Linked DNA regions of Rattus norvegicus. The protein of the gene in region 3 purifies or fractionates together with the protein of the main gene of each other region. This does not show direct contact. Links are inferred from orthologs where the notes say so. Each region holds a gene or a part of one and is shown on either strand. Other genes may lie near its edges.

Region 1 (4,232 bases), on a different chromosome or scaffold from region 3:
CTGCATAAACAGGGCAAGGTATCATATACCAATAGGAACAGCACTGGGAGAGTAGAGGCAGGAGGATGAGAAAAGCTTAAGGTCCTCCTGAGTACATATCAAGTTCAAGGCTAACCCTGGATAACATGAGACCCTACCGTAGGAAAAAAGGAAAAAGTAGGTAACAGACTGTCTAATGACTGGAAAGGAAAACAAGATACATTTTAATGTAAGCAACCTGACAAAAAAAGGTCAGAAATGTTTTTGAGGAACCGCCATCATAAAAATGAGTAGTGACTGAGAATACATGCAAAGGAAGTGCAAAGGAAGTGTCCCAAGATGAAGCACTAAGGCGTTCAACATTTAGACAGCAAAGGAGGAGGAGGAAGGAGAAAAGGACACCAAGCAGCAAGATGTAGGAGAGCCGGGGCGTGTTAGAGAGCTGACACTTTCCACGGTTTCTGACACCAGCTACCCAGAGATGGAGAAAGCTTAACCAGACTGAGCCTGAGCTACCCAGTCAGAGACCCCCATCTCAGAGACCGAATGGCTAATCTAATGTGGCTTGAGGTGAAGACAGGGCATCAGAATTCCATCATCCTCAGCTACATAGCCAAGTTCAAAGCCAGCCTGGGCTACTTATGACTCTGTCTCCAAAAAAAAAAAGTCTGACCAACTATAGTATCTATATAACAATTGAGCAGAAGACAAAGAAACATGAATAACAACACAATTTAGGTATGTCAACTGTGTACATATAAAGTCCGCAGGTGGAGTATATTCAAAAACTTCATTTGCCCATCAAGAAATATTTTCTTTATGGAAAAATAAACTGTTAGGGTGGCTTTGTTGTTGGTAGAGTGACTGTCTAGCATGCTCAGGTCCCTTCCATCCCAAACACCACGATATGATAATGGGGTGTGTGTGGCTTAGTGGTAAAGTACCTGTCTAGCATCCCTAAGTTCTATCCCTAGCACCACCTAATAATAATAGTAGTAATAATAATAATAGTGATAATAATGTTGTGGAAGGTGTGTGTTAAGCATGTGCAAGACCGTGGGTACTGGAGCTGGAGAGATGGCTTAGTGGTTAAGAGCACTGACTATGGCTTGGGGATTTAGCTCAGTGGTAGAGCGCTTGCCTAGCAAGCGCAAGGCCCTGGGTTCGGTTCTCAGCTGGGGGGGGGGGGGGGACAGGACACAAAAAACAAAAAACCACTGACTGTTCTTCCAGAGGTCATGAGTTCAGTTCCCAGCTACCACATGGGGGCTCACAACCATCTGTAATGAGATCTGATGCCCTCTTCTGGTGTGTCTGAAGACAGCTACAGTGTATTTGTATATAATAAATAAATATATCTTTTTTTTTCTTTTCTTGTCTAGCAAGCGCTCTACCACTGAGCTAAATCCCCAACCCCATAAATAAATAAATCTTTAAAGGAAAAAAAAAAAGACCGTGGGTACCGTTCCCAACACCACCAAATGAGGAGGAAGAGAAAGAAGAAGAGGCTATCCCAACAACAGCTGGAGAAATATCTCAGGAATTTGCCTAGTTGCCAGGTAGGAGTATTACATGCCTTTAGTCCATGCCTCCGAGGACAGAGGCAGGTGGATATCTGAGTTCAAGGCCAGCCTGGTCTAAAGAGCTTGTTCCAGGACAGCCAGTGCTCTACAGTGAAACTTTGTCTGGGGGGAGGGGGAGAAAACCTTGCCTGCTTTCCTGGTTAATCTTAACTGTCAACTTGAAACAGCCTAGAATCCTCTAAAGAAGCCTCAATGATAAACTGTCTTTTACCAAGTTGTTCTATGGGCGTGTCCACGAGGGACTGTCCCGATTATTAAATGATGCAGGAGGGTACCGCCTGGCCAACTGATGGTGGCACAGGCCTTTAATCCCAGCACTTGGGAGGGAGAGGCAGGCCTATCTCTGGGAGTTGAAGGATAGCCTGATCGACAGAGCTAGTTCCAGGAAAGCCACGACTACGCAAGCCCCAACACCCCCCCCCAAATAAATAGAAATAAAAAATAAAAGGGATGAGGGGTTATACAGACCGCGGCAGGTGCCACCATCCATGGACTGCTTCATAAAGAAGTTAGAAAACACAGAGAGTAAACCAGAGAGAGTTCTTGAACTGGTCTGAAGCTTCAGTTTCCTGTCTGAGTTCTTGCCCTGACTTCCCTCCATAATGAACTGTGTCCTGGAAGTTTAAGATGTAATAAACCCTTTCTACCCCTAGATTACTTTTGGTCATGGTGTTTGTCACAGTAACTGAAAGAAAACTAGCACAGCCAGTACTTTCACGACCCTGGGTACCAATTTCCAAAAGAACACGGCGATAACGGATGGCGATGCAGGTCAGTGGCAAAGGCTTTGCCTAGCAAAGTCCTGGGTACCATTTCCACCATTACAAAACAATGATGGCGGTGCTGATGGCTGGGGATCTGACTCAGTGGTAGAGTGTTTCCCCGAGCACATGCAGAGCCCACATCACAAGATGATTGTGACTGGCACGCATCTCAGGGTCACACTACTTCCAGAGCACGTGCAAGGTCTTGGGTTTCATTCCCAGAACCAGAAGAAAGAGAAAAAATAAAACCCCTCTCTATCCTTCCAACATTCCCCTCCCCAAAAGATACCGGAGGAGAGCGGGTTCCAACACCAGCAGGGTCCCTCCCCTGCCGCCCCACCTCCATGCACTTCCGGTCCGTGCACCCCGCCCACCCGCCCTGCTCGCGGGTCCGGAGGTCTAGCCGCCAGCCGCCTCACAGTCCCCAGCTGATTCTGCTTTCCCCTGGACGTGTCGCTTACACTTCCATGTTGCCTCTGCCTCGTCGTACACAACCGCTGGAAGAGAAGAACCTCACGTTACGCCAGCTCTGCTCTGCTCACCGTTTCTGTGTGTGTGCCGCAAGGCACTCTGGGACCGCCGTGGTGCATGCCGGGATCGCTGCAGGGCTCGCCCGGATCCTCCTTAATTCTAGGTGTTCCTACCTTGGTCTAATTTCAGCTTGTCGGGTGTTTTCATAGTGTAGGTTTTGTTAGGGTTTGCCTTGGCCACGTTAAAAATCCCTAAACCAGGCATGCAGCCCCACACCTGTAATCCTAGCACTAGAGAGGCCGAGACAGGAGAATTGTCATGAGTTTCTGGCCAGCCTGACCTACCTAATTACTTTCAAGCCATCCGAAGCTGTTTGAGACCTTGTGTTTAAAAAAACAAAAAACAGAAGCCAGGTATGGTCGCACAATCCTCTAATTCCAGCAAGGGGGAAAGAGGGAGGCAGAGAAACCCAGTCTCAAAAGACAGAGACAGAGCTGGAGAGATAGTTTAAGCACTTAGGAGGCTGAGGCAGGGGGAATGCCTTGAGTTTGAAGACAGTCTGGGCAACATGGTGAGTTCTAGTCAATTTAGACTACGTAGAGATCCTTTTCCCCATACAACCGTTAAAATTTGGGATGGGGAAGACAGATTTTCATTACTTAGCCTTTCAAACTCAGAGATCTGCCTGCCTCTGCCTCCCAGTGCTGAGATTAAAGGTGTGAGCCCCCACTGCTCAGCCATGTTAAAATGGTTTGCGGGTGATTGTGTTTGAGTTTTGTTTTGTTTTGTTTTTTGGTAAGTGGGGGGTGGTGTCTGGTATGATGACACATACCTGTAATCCCTCCACTTTGGAGATGGAGGCGAGAAAGTCAGTTTTTCATAATCCTCTTCAGCTACATGGGGAGTTTGAGGCCACCTGAGGCTACATGAGAACCCTGTCTCATAAAAACCAGTGTGTGTGTGTGTGTGTGTGTGTGTGTGTGTGTGTGTGTGTCCCACAATGGTGTTCATGGTGTTAGTCGGTCAACCATCTTACAATGATTGCCTCCCCCCTCAGGCACTGGTGATTCAGACATGAATAATACACACTCTCCATGCTAGCTGAGAACCCAGTAAGGGGACCAGTGCAGGGCATAAATCACTATGACACACTCTGTTTAGACTCTAGCATAGACAGGAGAATGACTAACATGGACAAAGAGGCGTCCCAAAGCCAGGAGTGTTTGAGGTGTGTGGAAAGAGGGTCGTTCAAAGCCAAGGCTTCAGAGATAGACTCATAGAAGACAGGCTACTGCCTTGGAGAGCCCCACCACAAAATGATTCAGAGAGGAAGGAATGCAAGCAGGGAAATCGGCTGGTACCCGTGTTCAAATGGCCTCCACCTAGGCACCTGCGCAGTGAGCTCAACCTGGTTGATAGCCAGTGAATGTCTTCA
Region 2 (4,077 bases), about 11 Mb from region 3:
ATAATAAATAAAATAAATCTTAAAAAAAAAAAAAAAAAAGAGGCTACTTTGTGCATATGGGCATATAGCCTCACACGTAAAAAAAAAAAAAAAAAAAAAAGGATACTATCGCGCCAGCAGTTCCGTCACCTCCTCCTTGGTCATGACCACGTGCTCAGGGACTAGCTGTGGAAACAGAGACCCACCCGCGGCCATCAGAAACCGACAGACTCAACAGGCTAATGGGTACTGCCACAGGGCTGGGACAGAGGACACAACCAGGCTACTAATATCACCAAGTTGGATGCTCAAGGCCACTGCACTAAAACTGGGGAACGACCCTGCCCAGCTTATGAATGGCACGGCCTGAGACTGGGAAGATCCAGGGCCCTCCCGTATCCTGTCCAGACCACGCCATGCCACCCAGACCTTCCCTGGGACACACGCACCTCATGTTCTGTGATATTGATGAGCAGCTCCTGCTGTAGAAACTGTTCTAGCACGTACTTAGGGGCCATGTCTACCAGGGACTGCTTGGCGGAGGGTGTCATGCCCTGCTGCACCACGATCAGCGCCCGTGTGATGTTCTCCTCCTGCATGCGCTGGCAGTACACCTTGATGGTCTTGATGCCCACCTTGGGCTCCTCTGCAGGCACACAAGTGTGACCCTCACACCCACCACTAGAGTCCCTGATGTCCTGCTGCCTGTGGACTTAGCTTCTCCACTCACAAAGGAAGACCAGAACGCAAAGCCAGCCGCGGTGGGGCTATCACGGGGCAGCCATGGCGGAAGAAAGCTGCACTGTCCGCCCCTCCTGATCCAGGGGGTGAAATTCTCAGCAGCTCTGAGATTTGTGGAATATGGTATTGTCAGCTTGGGCAGCCTCAAGGAGAAACTGTCTGACCAGGAGGTGGACCCTGTGTCTAACATGGGGCTAAGCCTTCTCTCCTCAGGCAGAGTGGGGTTTACTGGAGCATTAGGACGCAGAGCACAAGAGCAGGTCCAGGTCACCTAGTCACCTAGTCTGCAAATTATCGGACCTTATCCAGACTCTACACACCTTTTTACATTATGATAACAGTGGCAAAATTAGTTAGGAAGCAGCAATGAAAATTTTATGGCTGTAGGTCACCACAACATGGAGAGTCCCATTGTCGGGAAGGCTGACAGCCACTGCCTTACATAGTTCTGGCTGTCCTAGAAGTCACTGTGTAGCCCAGGCTGGCCTCGGCTGCCTGCCTCCGCCTCCTGGATTTATAAACACATGCTACCATGCCCATCCCTGCACCCCCAATTCTCACACTAAAACCCCAGGCCCCAGGCATCAACATCAGGTATTAAAGGAAACAAGCTGCCTGCGGAGACTGGAGGAGCTGCAGAGCACCACAAACCTCCGAGAGCCGCCTGGGCCTCAGACAGCAACTGTAGACTACAGCAACAGGAGCAGGGGGACTGAGCACTGGTCTGCGGACTCAGGGGCAAAAAGGACACCGGTGAAATGGAAGCTTCCCAGGGGAAGACAGGGACAAAGCAGGCAGCTGCCACCAGAACTGGAGGCCCCCAGAGGATGCCACTACTGCCAGCCCAAGGACCCTCACCTGGGAAGAAGACAAACATCTGGTCTGTGGGATCATCGTTGTGGGCCACCAGCACGGTGAGGTCTGTGCGCCTCGGCCGTCCTTCGCTGGGCTTGTCCCCAAACTGTGCCTTGAACTCTTCAAGTGTCTGGTCCAGCTCATCCTGGGTCACCAGGTAGCCTCGGTCATGACACAGCTGTAGAGAGAGAAGAGTACTCAGCTAGAGGACAGCTGGGGACTAACACTGACTGACCCGCAGTACCCAAATTCTGCATAGGCTGAGACTACAGAGGCCCCAGCCAAGCCTCCTCCCTTCCCTCCAGCCTCACCAGAGAAGGCTGGGGTCAATGACCTGGCAACCTTCCTGTCTTGGACCCTCCTAATGAGGGCTGAGAACAGGCCTGAGGAGGCCTAGATCAGGTCCTGGGCTCCACCCAACACAGCATAAATTAAAACTATTAATACCTCTTTCTCCACTGGGGTCTTATCTACTCAACTCGAACAACCAAAATGTCTTCCTTTTTTCCCTTTTCTTTCCAGACAGGGTTTCTCTGCGTGAATGTGACCCTGTCTATCCGGGAAATTACCATGTAGACCAGGCTGACCTCTAACTCAGAGATCCGCCTCTTTCTAACTCCAGAGTGCTGGGATTAAAGGCGTGCGCCGTCATGCCGGCTTGTTTTATTTTTTTAAATAGCTTCTTTTAATCCTACGTGTGTCCAAGAGACCAGAAAAGGGCCACAGATGCCCTGGAACTGGGGTTACAGATGGTTGTGAACTACCATGTGGGTGTCGATGGTGAGGCTCCCTAGTACTGAGGAAACCATTCGTTCCCAACACCCCGTAAACCAGGTGTGACCGTGTAGCAGCCATGTATCCCGTTTCCGAAGCAGAGAGTCCAGCTAGGACTTTTCCTCTGGGGCAGGGGGAGGAGGCTGAAGCAGGAGGATTGCCAACAACTGAGGTGGGTGGACTCCACACTTTAAGAGGGGATGCATCCTATTACCTGGGAGGCTGAAGCAAGAGGATTAGCCCCCATTGGAGGCTGGGCTGAGCGGACAGACAACCGCAGTTAGTCCACAGCTCAGCGCTCGCTCAAAACCTCCCCATGCAACTCGCCTGCATGATAGTCTTGCGGATCTTCCACAGCCGATACGTTTCCTCCTCGTCGTCCATGTTGTCGCACTTCACAAACAACTCTGCACGCGCGCTCGTAGACCTACCAGGACTGAGCCTGCGCGGGACAGCATAAAGTGCACGCCCCCAGCACAGTGCGCCTGCGCGGAATGCGGAGAAGGCCCCGCCCAGGTTTGGTTTAGGTGATCGCCGGAATACACCAACTTTCCAGGATAGGTTGAGCGGTGGGCAATCCCAGCATTTACCGCGGCGGTGTCTGCGCGAGATCGCACACGGGAAGATCGCGCGATACTTGACCTGCCTTAGTATTTTCCCACTAGGCGTTTGCAAAAGAAAACTTGGCTGTAGTTCACGCCTTTAATCCCGGACCGAGGCAAGCAGTCGATGAGTTTGAGGCGAGCCTGGTCTATAGCCAGGGACATCCTGTCTCGAAAAAGAAAAGGAAAGAAAGAAAGGGGGAGCCCGATGATGAAAAGCCAGGTTCATGTGCCTCAGTTTCCCTTTTTATATAAGTTTTTATTAATATATTTGCACTTTGTATGAGAAATCGGATTCCAGCGCCCCCAGCCATCTGTAACTCCAGCTCCAGAGGATCTGGGGCCTCTGGCCTCTGGGTATGTCTAAACCCACATGCAGACCCACACACATGATTAAAATCCTAAAAACTAGAAGGAAAAAATGGACATATAGGCATATAGACAATCGACAAACAAGTGTGTATGTGGTGGGCTACTCGTGCTGCCTTGAAAGTTAGAATGTAAACCAGGTCTCAACAGCGCAGAGCATGCCCTGCCTCTGCCTCCGCAGTGCTGGGATTGAAAGCTTGTACCATCGCAACTGGCAAGGGCTGTCGTTGGAAATCTAGATGCGGACTGTACCCTCCATTCTGTCCTGATGTGAGTCTGACTGAGGTCTACAGATCATGACCGGTTCTGGTATGGAAACTTAGGCTGATCCTGACTTGGAAAGACAAGTTTTGGCCAAGGGCACCGATCACTGAACCCACCATATGCCCTGTAGACCAGGGCTGAGGGGCTGTGGTTGCTACAGTTGGCTAAGAGCTGTGGGTGCAAAGTAAGGGGATGTGGGCATGGGGAATGAGAGAGTTTGAGGGGCTGGAGAGATGGCTAAGTGGTTAAGAGCACTGACTGCTCTTCCAGAGGTCCTGAGTTCAATTCCCAGCAACCACATGGTGGCTCACAACCATCTGTAAAGAGATCCGATGCCCTCTTCTGGTGTGTCCAAAGACAGTGACAGTGTATATGTATATATATATATATATATATATATATATATATATATATATATATATATATATATATATATATAGAGAGAGAGAGAGAGAGAGAGAGAGAGAGAGAGGCATTTGATTCTAGCACCACT
Region 3 (4,001 bases):
CAAACTGAAACGATCAGTAAACAACTTTGGGCATCTTTTACCCCTTCTTCCCATGGGATTTTTCTTCCCGCTGAACGTGCCTGAACTCATTTCAAATTTCAGTGGCAAACCCCCTTGTCTTCTACCAAACATACACAAAGATGTGCATGTTTACTATTCATAGAGATTTTAAGTGTATTCTAAAAATTTTTTAAAAACAATTAGTGCAATGATGAAACTTTAAAACTCTATTAGTAATCCTTAGGCTTTGTTTCCATCCTTGAATTCCACCACAAGCCATTATTAATACATTATCTTTTCTTTGGAGACAGGGTTTCATGTAGCTCAGGATAGCCTCAAACTTGCTAGGTAGCCAAAAATGCCCTTGACTTTCTGGATTCCCTACTACCTCTAGCTTCTAAAAGGTAGGTTATAGGTGTGTGCTACCATGGGGGGTTTATGTGCAACCCCTGGTTTATTTGTTGTAGTGGGGAACAAACCTGTGCACAGTACAAACTCCCTCCCGCTGACATTTTCTCCTACTGTTATCCTATATAGAAATATCTGACATAGGATTTAGATGTATCTTTTTCTCCCAAACCGTTAATTAACTCTTCTAATATAATTTATTGGGTTTTTCCTACCCATTTAATTTTGCGAGGGTAATTTACTCCAAGATCACACATCTGGGAATTTAAGTAGCACTTTTTTGTTATACTTTATTGACACTAGAACATTTCTTCCCAACCTATTACGGTCATCCTATGAGATTTGATTGTTGTCCATTACACGCAGGTACTGTTGTACTGCACAACATACGTACAGTTTAAATTGAGTTAAATCTCTGCTTTAGAGGTTCACGTTGTGGTCAATGTGTATTACCGAGTCATTTTTTGGATTAGTTATACAGTTAGAACTACTATATTTTTGCCGTATCTAATCATTCTGGGGATACTGGATATAAACCTGTCTGTTGGGAGTCTAGGCGAGACCTCGGAAGTACACCAGTGGGTGCAGTTTTCCACATCCGGCTCGGTCACTTCCGGGTTCCTCCGCAGGTTAGGCCCGGACCAGGCGGAACCTTTTGAAGCGCCTCCCGTAAACAAGCGCAGCGGGGACACTGGAGGACTACGCACACCACTCTCCGCGTGCTGTTTGAATGGAGCCGCACGGGCGGATGTGAACATTCTGCCTTCTTCCTTTACCGTGGGTGGAATGGACGTGCTAGCTGAGGAGTTCGGGAGCCTGACTCCGGAGGAGCTGGCTGCGCCGATCCCGACTGTGGAGGTAAGCGCCGCGAGCGCACGCAGCGGAAGAGGCTGGAGGCGACTGAGGAGGGGTTGCCGGGAGAGTTTTTTGAGAGGACGAGGGCGGGACACTAGACTTCTGCGCATGCCCAGGACTTCTGCACATGCTCAGAGCTCCCGGTGTGTGAGCCTTTACAAGGTCTGAATCTAGCATGTTGGTAGCCGCATGAACAGAGGGTCGCTTAGTAGCGTCTTCCGTTTAGAAGCTCAGCCAGTGGCTCTCGGATGAAGCATTTCTAGTTCAAGTATGCTCTGGCAAGAATTGGCCCTTGTGTGTTCTCTGAGGAACAAGTATCTTTTTGCCGATCTCACCTGAAAGGACACCGAGATCCTGAGAGCTTAGGCAATGTTCTTGAGGTCACATAGCTGGCTTTGGTGGTTAAAGTGAATGTGAATCTCACGCTGGTCATCATTTTCGTTTAAATCCAGAGTTTCTTTGGACTGCAGGCTTAGTTTAAGTATCATGAATATCCCCTCAGCCCCCATTTTTGACCTTGTATTTTCTGAGGGGCCCCTATAGCTTTCATCAGATTCTTAAGCGATAATTGCTCCACGCTGAACTGTCTGATGAAGTGCAGTGGCTGACATGATTTTGTTTCCTGAGAAGGTATATAAATTCTTTCTGGACCTTGACATCTTTGGCACAGAATATATCTAGGACTGAAAATGGTCGAGGAAGAAATTCAGGCAGAGGGACAGACTGTACACGACCCTCAGCCACACTGTCGGATGTTTCAGAGGAGGTGCTGGGGGAGGAGGGCAGTAAAGAGAAGTTCCGGATTCTGAAATTAACTCTCAGAAGGTGTTAAGACTTTCTCCCTGGGAATAGTAAAACACCATTGAAGGGTTTAAATGGGAACGACCGTCGTGAATGATAAAAACTTCCTTAGGGCCCTGAGGTGGCTCAGGGATTGAGGACTACTAGTTGCTCTAACAGAGCACCCGGGTTTGATTCCTTCTGTCACAGTTCAACAGGGTGTGGGGAACCATGACTAATCCCAACATTTGGTCTGTGGAAGTAGGAGAATCACAACCTCACTGTCTCAGAGGGAGTTTGAAGCATGAGTTCCAAGAGTCTCTTATTGAAAATATACAGTATTTCTCTTTGTGTTTGGCTTATTTCACAGTGTTTCCCCACTCCCACTCAACAGGACCTGCAGTCCACACAGCAAAGGATAGTTAAGCATGTAGCCCAGTACAAAACTATAGACTTACTCAAAACATGAGTGCTATTTCATTTTCCTTTTAATATTCTTTGGTATGACTCTCAAGTGAGAATTTTGCAGATCACAGTGTCGTATTACAGTGTTCATGTAAGGAACCCTCCTCACATTCGCCCTGAATTTCAGCATCAGTTGGGACTCCATGTCTTCCAAATGGGACACTACAGTGCTTTCTGATCCTTGTCTTTGTGTTCCTCACCCCTAACTCAGCATTTGAGCCACAGTGCACTGGCTCATTGGAACCTGCTGTCACCACATTTACTACCTTAAGCTTCCTCAGTGTACCTACCCTCCTCTCCTCACCATGTCTAATCCGTAGAAGGCATAGACATCCTCAGTGTTTTCAACCCTGCCAGCTCCTTCAACCCTGTTGCTTGTGCACAATGGCTCCCTTTATTTGGAATGCCTCCCTCATTCCCTCACCATGCTCAGGCATAGCAGTCTATCTAGCATCTATACTGATCCACCTCACTATGGCTTTGGAAGCCAGGAGACACGTCTGTCTGCTTGTTTAAGTAGTAAGACGAATTAGTATTTGCTCAACTTTTCAATGAATAATAACCAGCCCCAAAGCTTGAGTAACTTTTCCCGCCATGGTATAATATGAAGGAAAATATATTAGAAATTATTGATTCAAATGAAACAGAGCTCCGGCCTAGAAAGTGTAGAGAATGCAGGTTGGGAGTTTGAATAGTAAATAGGCTAAAAGGAAATGACATTTGTTTACTGCTCTAGTAACTACTGTTCAGATTACTGATCATTGGCTCAACAATGAGATTCTAGTTTACTTCACAAGAATAAATGAGAATAAGCTTTATGAACAAGTACTGTGTCAATTTTCCGAGTCTCCAGTGTCATTCTAGGACCTTCTTTGGTGAAGGCAGGACCTGAGGACCCCACTTCAGAGCATAAGACGTGGGGATGGGGCTAGCGATGTTAGAAACACGAAGGTCTATGGCAGACACTGTGGTAGGAGGGAGTCAGTGCCTTCCTAAGGAAGTCAGGACTGATGTACAACATTTAATCTACAAGTTAAAGCTGAAACGAGAAGAAAACCCACCAAAGGCAGGATGAGCATACAAGAGGAAAAAACAACAATAATATAACCAAAACCAAACAGAGCGAGTACAGTAAGCAATGGTGGGAAAGAGGTGGAGAAGTAAGCACTGGCCAGACTTGGTAAACTACCACTGTTGATGACTTTAGATTTTATCCTATGTCTCAGTGTCCTGTGAAGAAGAGACACTGTGACCAAGGCAACTCTTATAATAGAAAGCTTTTAATTGGGGGCTCACCAGCAGTCTCAGGGGTTAGTCCATTATCATTGTATCAGGGATGGTATGCATGGTGCTGGAGAAGTAGCTGAGAGCTTTATAGCCTGATCTTTATGCAGGCAGGGGGTGGGGGAAGAGAGAGACAGAGACACACAGACACAGACACAGGGCCAGGCATGGGCTTTTGAAACTTCAGAGCCCATCAACAGTGACATATT
Region 4 (4,060 bases), on a different chromosome or scaffold from region 3:
CTGCCAGTCTTGGGAGTAAAGATGTACACCACCATGCCTGCCTGGCCCTACTAGCTCTAGTAACGGGCTGACAAGAAGCCTCAGAGGGTGCATGCTTGCTTAAACCTACAGACCCAACTTCAATCCCTAGAAACCATGTAAAGGTGGAAAGAGCCTCTGAGCGCTGCTGGCACTGTGCTAAGAGTGAGGGATTAAAGGCAGGGGCAAGAGAACGTTCTCACAGGCGAAGGCCCATGTACAAGAGCCAACTAAGATCACAGTTAATTAGGCCTGGGATCTGAGCCCATGACAGATTCCAGGACAGTTCTGCCTAACTCATAATCTCAACCTCTCAGCCTTACCTGGGTTCCGATATTCAAAGAGACGTGGATCAGCAAGAATGGGGATAAGCCCCAGGCGGTGAGCAAGGATCTCATCCTGGACGATGGATGTGTTGTTATACACCAAAACCTTTTCCACAGCCATTGTTGGCACCTGCCCAAGGAAGCAAAATGATCTACCTGACCTCCACCCATCCCCTACCTGGAAAAACGAGGGGCAGCCCTTCTTAGTTTTGCCCTTCAGATTTGATACAAGGTTTACTGTGTAGTTCGGACTGCCCTCTGAAGTGTTCATATTATAGGTGTAAACCGCCCCACCCGCCCGGTAGTCTACAGATGGGGTGACAGTTTCCACACTCCAGCCCGCGACTTCTAATACCTCAGCTAACAGAATCCTCCGGAAGGCATTGGCAATGGCAGCATCAATCCCCACCATGTCGAACTCCAGTGTGCTCTCGTCCATATGCACCACGTCCACACGGAAGTTCTAGAGGGGTAGAGAAAGCCCAGTGGGTGGGAAACCTGTTCCTCTTGTGTGAACCCAGTCTACCCTGGCACTATCCCCCAAGATCATCAGTAGACATTTTGTCTCTAGTCCCACTGGGAGGGCAGTGTACTGTTCCTTGTTTATGTTTTTCAAGACAGGGTTTTTCTGTAGCCCTGGCTGTCCTAGAACTCACTCTGTAGACTAGGCTGGCCTCAAACTCAAAGATCCACCTGCCTCTGCTTCTTTTTTTCTTTCTTCTTTTTTCTTTTTTTTCGGAGCTGGGGACCGAACCCAGGGCCTTGCGCTTGCTAGGCAAGTGCTCTACCACTGAGCTAAATCCCCAACCCCCTGCCTCTGCTTCTTGAGTGCTGGGATTAAAGGTGTGTGCCACTATGCCTGGCTTCTCAGATAGTCCACAGACCACCCAGCAAAGCTACTGTACAAAAAGCAGAACTTCCCACCTATTTAAACCATTTGATACTTGCATTTTTTAATATCTACTTTTCCTTATCTAAATTTTCTCTTCCACCCAGTAAACGTTACTTTCTCCCAGGTTCTAAATCCCCTGGGTGACCTTCATGCTGCTGACTCAAGCAAGGGCATAGCAGCTCCTGACCTTGGTCTGACTTCAAGCATCACCACTCGACCGGTAGACTTCGCAAACAACTGTGCCATCGCCCTGGTCCTCCCGCTTAGCAAATGACACAGCCAGCAACACAGTTCCCCAGTGTGGCTGGAGAAACCACTCGGCAGTTAAGAGCACTTACTGCTCTTGCAGAAGAATGGATTTGGTTCCCAGCACCCAGTGGGACCTCCTCACACTGCTGGGAGCAGTGGTGCACAAATACACATGCAGGCAAACATACATACCAAGAAAAGGTTATCCGTTCCTCAAGCCACAAGGTCCTTTCTCACACTGCCCTCACCACAGCAATGGTCTGCATCAGCTAGTTACTACTCTCACTCCATTACCACCATCTGCAGTTCATCCATGCCCCCAATTTCAGCCTCCATACACTAGCTGGCAGATTCGCCAGATTCATTCCTTCCCAGCTATCAAGACTGCAAAATTTTATCAGTCTACTGAAAAATTCTAACGGGGCATGGTGGCTCATGCCTTTAATCCTGTGCACGGGAGGCAGAGGCAGGTGGACCAATCTGAGTTTGAGTCCGGCCTGGTCTACAGAGGGGGTGCCAGGGCAGCCATGGAACCCTGTTTCAAAAAGACATAAAAATAAAAATCTATCACCTACAGAGTCTAAAATGCATTCCAATCTTATCTACTGCTCATGCTGGTGGACTTACATTCTGACAAAAATGAGCTGCTGCAGCTGACTAAGAGCAAACCTTATACAAGCGTTTATAATGAAACTCGAATTAGGCCTTCACCGCTCAACTTTTATTCATAGTTCAAAGCTTAATTCAAATGTCACTCCCTAACTACGTCCCTTCAATTGGCTGGATTAAGTGCATCAATGATTCCTACCCCATCCCAGCCATCTTCATCGCTATTTTATTATACTGAAATAACTTGTTTGTGGCCCATTACCCCACCGAGAGCAAACAATTTATTCCACAAACAGGAGCGGTGTCTGACGGCCCGTCCATGGATCGGGAAACATGTTTTCATGTTTCATGAAAACAGAGATCCCCAACCCAACCTGTGAGGTCTGGCCCCTCAAACCGTCTGGACACTTCCAGCCCTACCCACCTTCTCGAACCGGTCCTGGTCCCAGGCATCATCATAACCGGAGTAGTTACCGGGAAAGTCAGTGGTGTGGACCTAGAGCCAACAGAAAGGGCAGTGAGGCCAGGCCATACACCAGGCCTCCTCTCTCCCGTGCCTCCCCCATCACTCCCGCGGTCCGATCTCTTACATTGCGAACCCCAAACTCTCCCAGAACCACGCGAGTCCGCATTTCCTCCACCGCCTGAGCAGCCGCCATCTTCCACCATCAGCCGTGAGAGGAGGCTCCAAGTTAGCGCGTGCGTGCTAGCGGCCCGCCTCCGTCTCCGCGGCAACGTTCCGTCTCCGGCAATCTTCACTGTCGCGATATCTTGTCCCGCCTCTGTCCACGTCCTTCACTTCCGGACGTCAATTGGGGCCAAACATCCGGGTTTCTCACTTTTGCGTTCCGGCTGGTCCTACCTCGCCTAGTCGCTCCTCTGAACCTTTCCTTCCCTCGGGCCCAGGTCTCACACTATTCCCACGAGCGCTAGCTTCAGCGACGGGAAGCCTCGAGGGACATGGCGACTCAGGCGGCGCCGGCCAGCGGCGTCCGAAATGGTGCTGGCCCGGAATGGGGAGGCTTCGAAGAAAACATCCAGGTATTGAGAGCTCTTGCTGCCAGCAACTCCCCGGGCTGGCGGCCGAGTGTGGTTGCTATTTTTTCTCGCGGCGTGGAAGTCGGCTCTATTGCCACACTGCCTGTCCTCTTTCAGTCTTCCACGCGAAAGTGTGTAGAGCTTGTGCTGGCGTGAAAGGGCTAGATTAAGGTTCGAGTCTCTGTACCTGCCCGGGGCTTTGCAGACGGGTTGGGGGATCTGCCTGGATCAGGCATAGTATGGGACTACAGGATAGAATTTCGGCACTTCCTAAAATAGGCTTGTTTGAGAGTTGGGAAAGGCAGATGGGCTTCTTTGCAACTCTTTGGAGCTTTGGGAGGGGCGGGGGGGGGAGGGCGAACTACAAGTGTCGCCACCAAGAGTTGCCAGCAGTGAAAGGTTATGTATAACACAGTGGGTAGCAGTTCCAAGCCATATCCTCGTCAGTGGAAGAGCAAAGCCTCAAACTGTCAGATGAGGGGAGAACCAAAGGATGCAACGGAAGGGCCCCTCACACTAGGAGCCATTGTCTTCACAGGGTGGGGGCTCGGCTGTGATTGATATGGAGAACATGGACGATACCTCAGGCTCCAGCTTCGAGGACATGGGTGAACTACATCAGCGCCTGCGTGAGGAAGAGGTAGATGCTGATGCAGCTGCTGCAGAAGAAGAGGACGGGGAGTTTCTCGGCATGAAAGGCTTTAAGGGACAACTGAGCCGGCAGGTAGCAGATCAGGTAAGCCAATGGAAAGGAAGACCTGTGTGTGTCCTAGGTTGATACACTTTTTCCACTTAGACCTACATACACAGAAATCAAGCGGAGGCCGGGTAACCGTCTAGAGCCAGGAGTTTTTCATAATACCCATCTCCTTTCAGATGTGGCAGGCAGGGAAGAGACAAGCTTCAAAGGCCTTCAGTTTGTATGCCA

The links.
Region 1: the proteins of Polr3b (region 3) and Crcp purify together in Homo sapiens (affinity purification with mass spectrometry; 5 studies listed by BioGRID and IntAct, with this or other methods). This does not show direct contact. The link is inferred for Rattus norvegicus from reciprocal best matches to the Homo sapiens genes POLR3B and CRCP.
Region 2: the proteins of Polr3b (region 3) and Polr2e purify together in Homo sapiens (affinity purification with mass spectrometry; 7 studies listed by BioGRID and IntAct, counting the BioPlex papers as one, with this or other methods). This does not show direct contact. The link is inferred for Rattus norvegicus from reciprocal best matches to the Homo sapiens genes POLR3B and POLR2E.
Region 4: the proteins of Polr3b (region 3) and Polr1c purify together in Homo sapiens (affinity purification with mass spectrometry; 7 studies listed by BioGRID and IntAct, counting the BioPlex papers as one, with this or other methods). This does not show direct contact. The link is inferred for Rattus norvegicus from reciprocal best matches to the Homo sapiens genes POLR3B and POLR1C.

The regions. Positions count from the first base shown.
Region 1 is NC_086030.1:32,292,959-32,297,190, forward strand, and holds the start of Crcp (DNA-directed RNA polymerase III subunit RPC9), read right to left. Parts: upstream 2,810-4,232; 5' UTR 2,796-2,809; coding exon 2,788-2,795; intron 1-2,787. UniProt on the Homo sapiens protein: DNA-dependent RNA polymerase catalyzes the transcription of DNA into RNA using the four ribonucleoside triphosphates as substrates.
Region 2 is NC_086025.1:10,316,090-10,320,166, reverse strand, and holds the start of Polr2e (DNA-directed RNA polymerases I, II, and III subunit RPABC1), read right to left. Parts: upstream 2,810-4,077; 5' UTR 2,734-2,809; coding exon 2,677-2,733; exon of another isoform or gene 2,597-2,676; coding exon of another isoform or gene 2,564-2,596; intron 1,754-2,563; coding exon 1,579-1,753; intron 626-1,578; coding exon 429-625; intron 166-428; coding exon 107-165; intron 1-106. UniProt on the Homo sapiens protein: DNA-dependent RNA polymerase catalyzes the transcription of DNA into RNA using the four ribonucleoside triphosphates as substrates.
Region 3 is NC_086025.1:21,027,327-21,031,327, reverse strand, and holds the start of Polr3b (DNA-directed RNA polymerase III subunit RPC2), read left to right. Parts: upstream 1-1,194; coding exon 1,195-1,266; intron 1,267-4,001. UniProt on the Homo sapiens protein: Catalytic core component of RNA polymerase III (Pol III), a DNA-dependent RNA polymerase which synthesizes small non-coding RNAs using the four ribonucleoside triphosphates as substrates.
Region 4 is NC_086027.1:22,232,067-22,236,126, reverse strand, and holds the start of Polr1c (DNA-directed RNA polymerases I and III subunit RPAC1), read right to left. Parts: upstream 2,810-4,060; 5' UTR 2,754-2,809; coding exon 2,685-2,753; intron 2,591-2,684; coding exon 2,519-2,590; intron 808-2,518; coding exon 700-807; intron 475-699; coding exon 342-474; intron 1-341. Other genes in the region: protein YIPF3, read left to right, coding at 3,055-3,135, 3,671-3,868, 4,009-4,060. UniProt on the Homo sapiens protein: DNA-dependent RNA polymerase catalyzes the transcription of DNA into RNA using the four ribonucleoside triphosphates as substrates.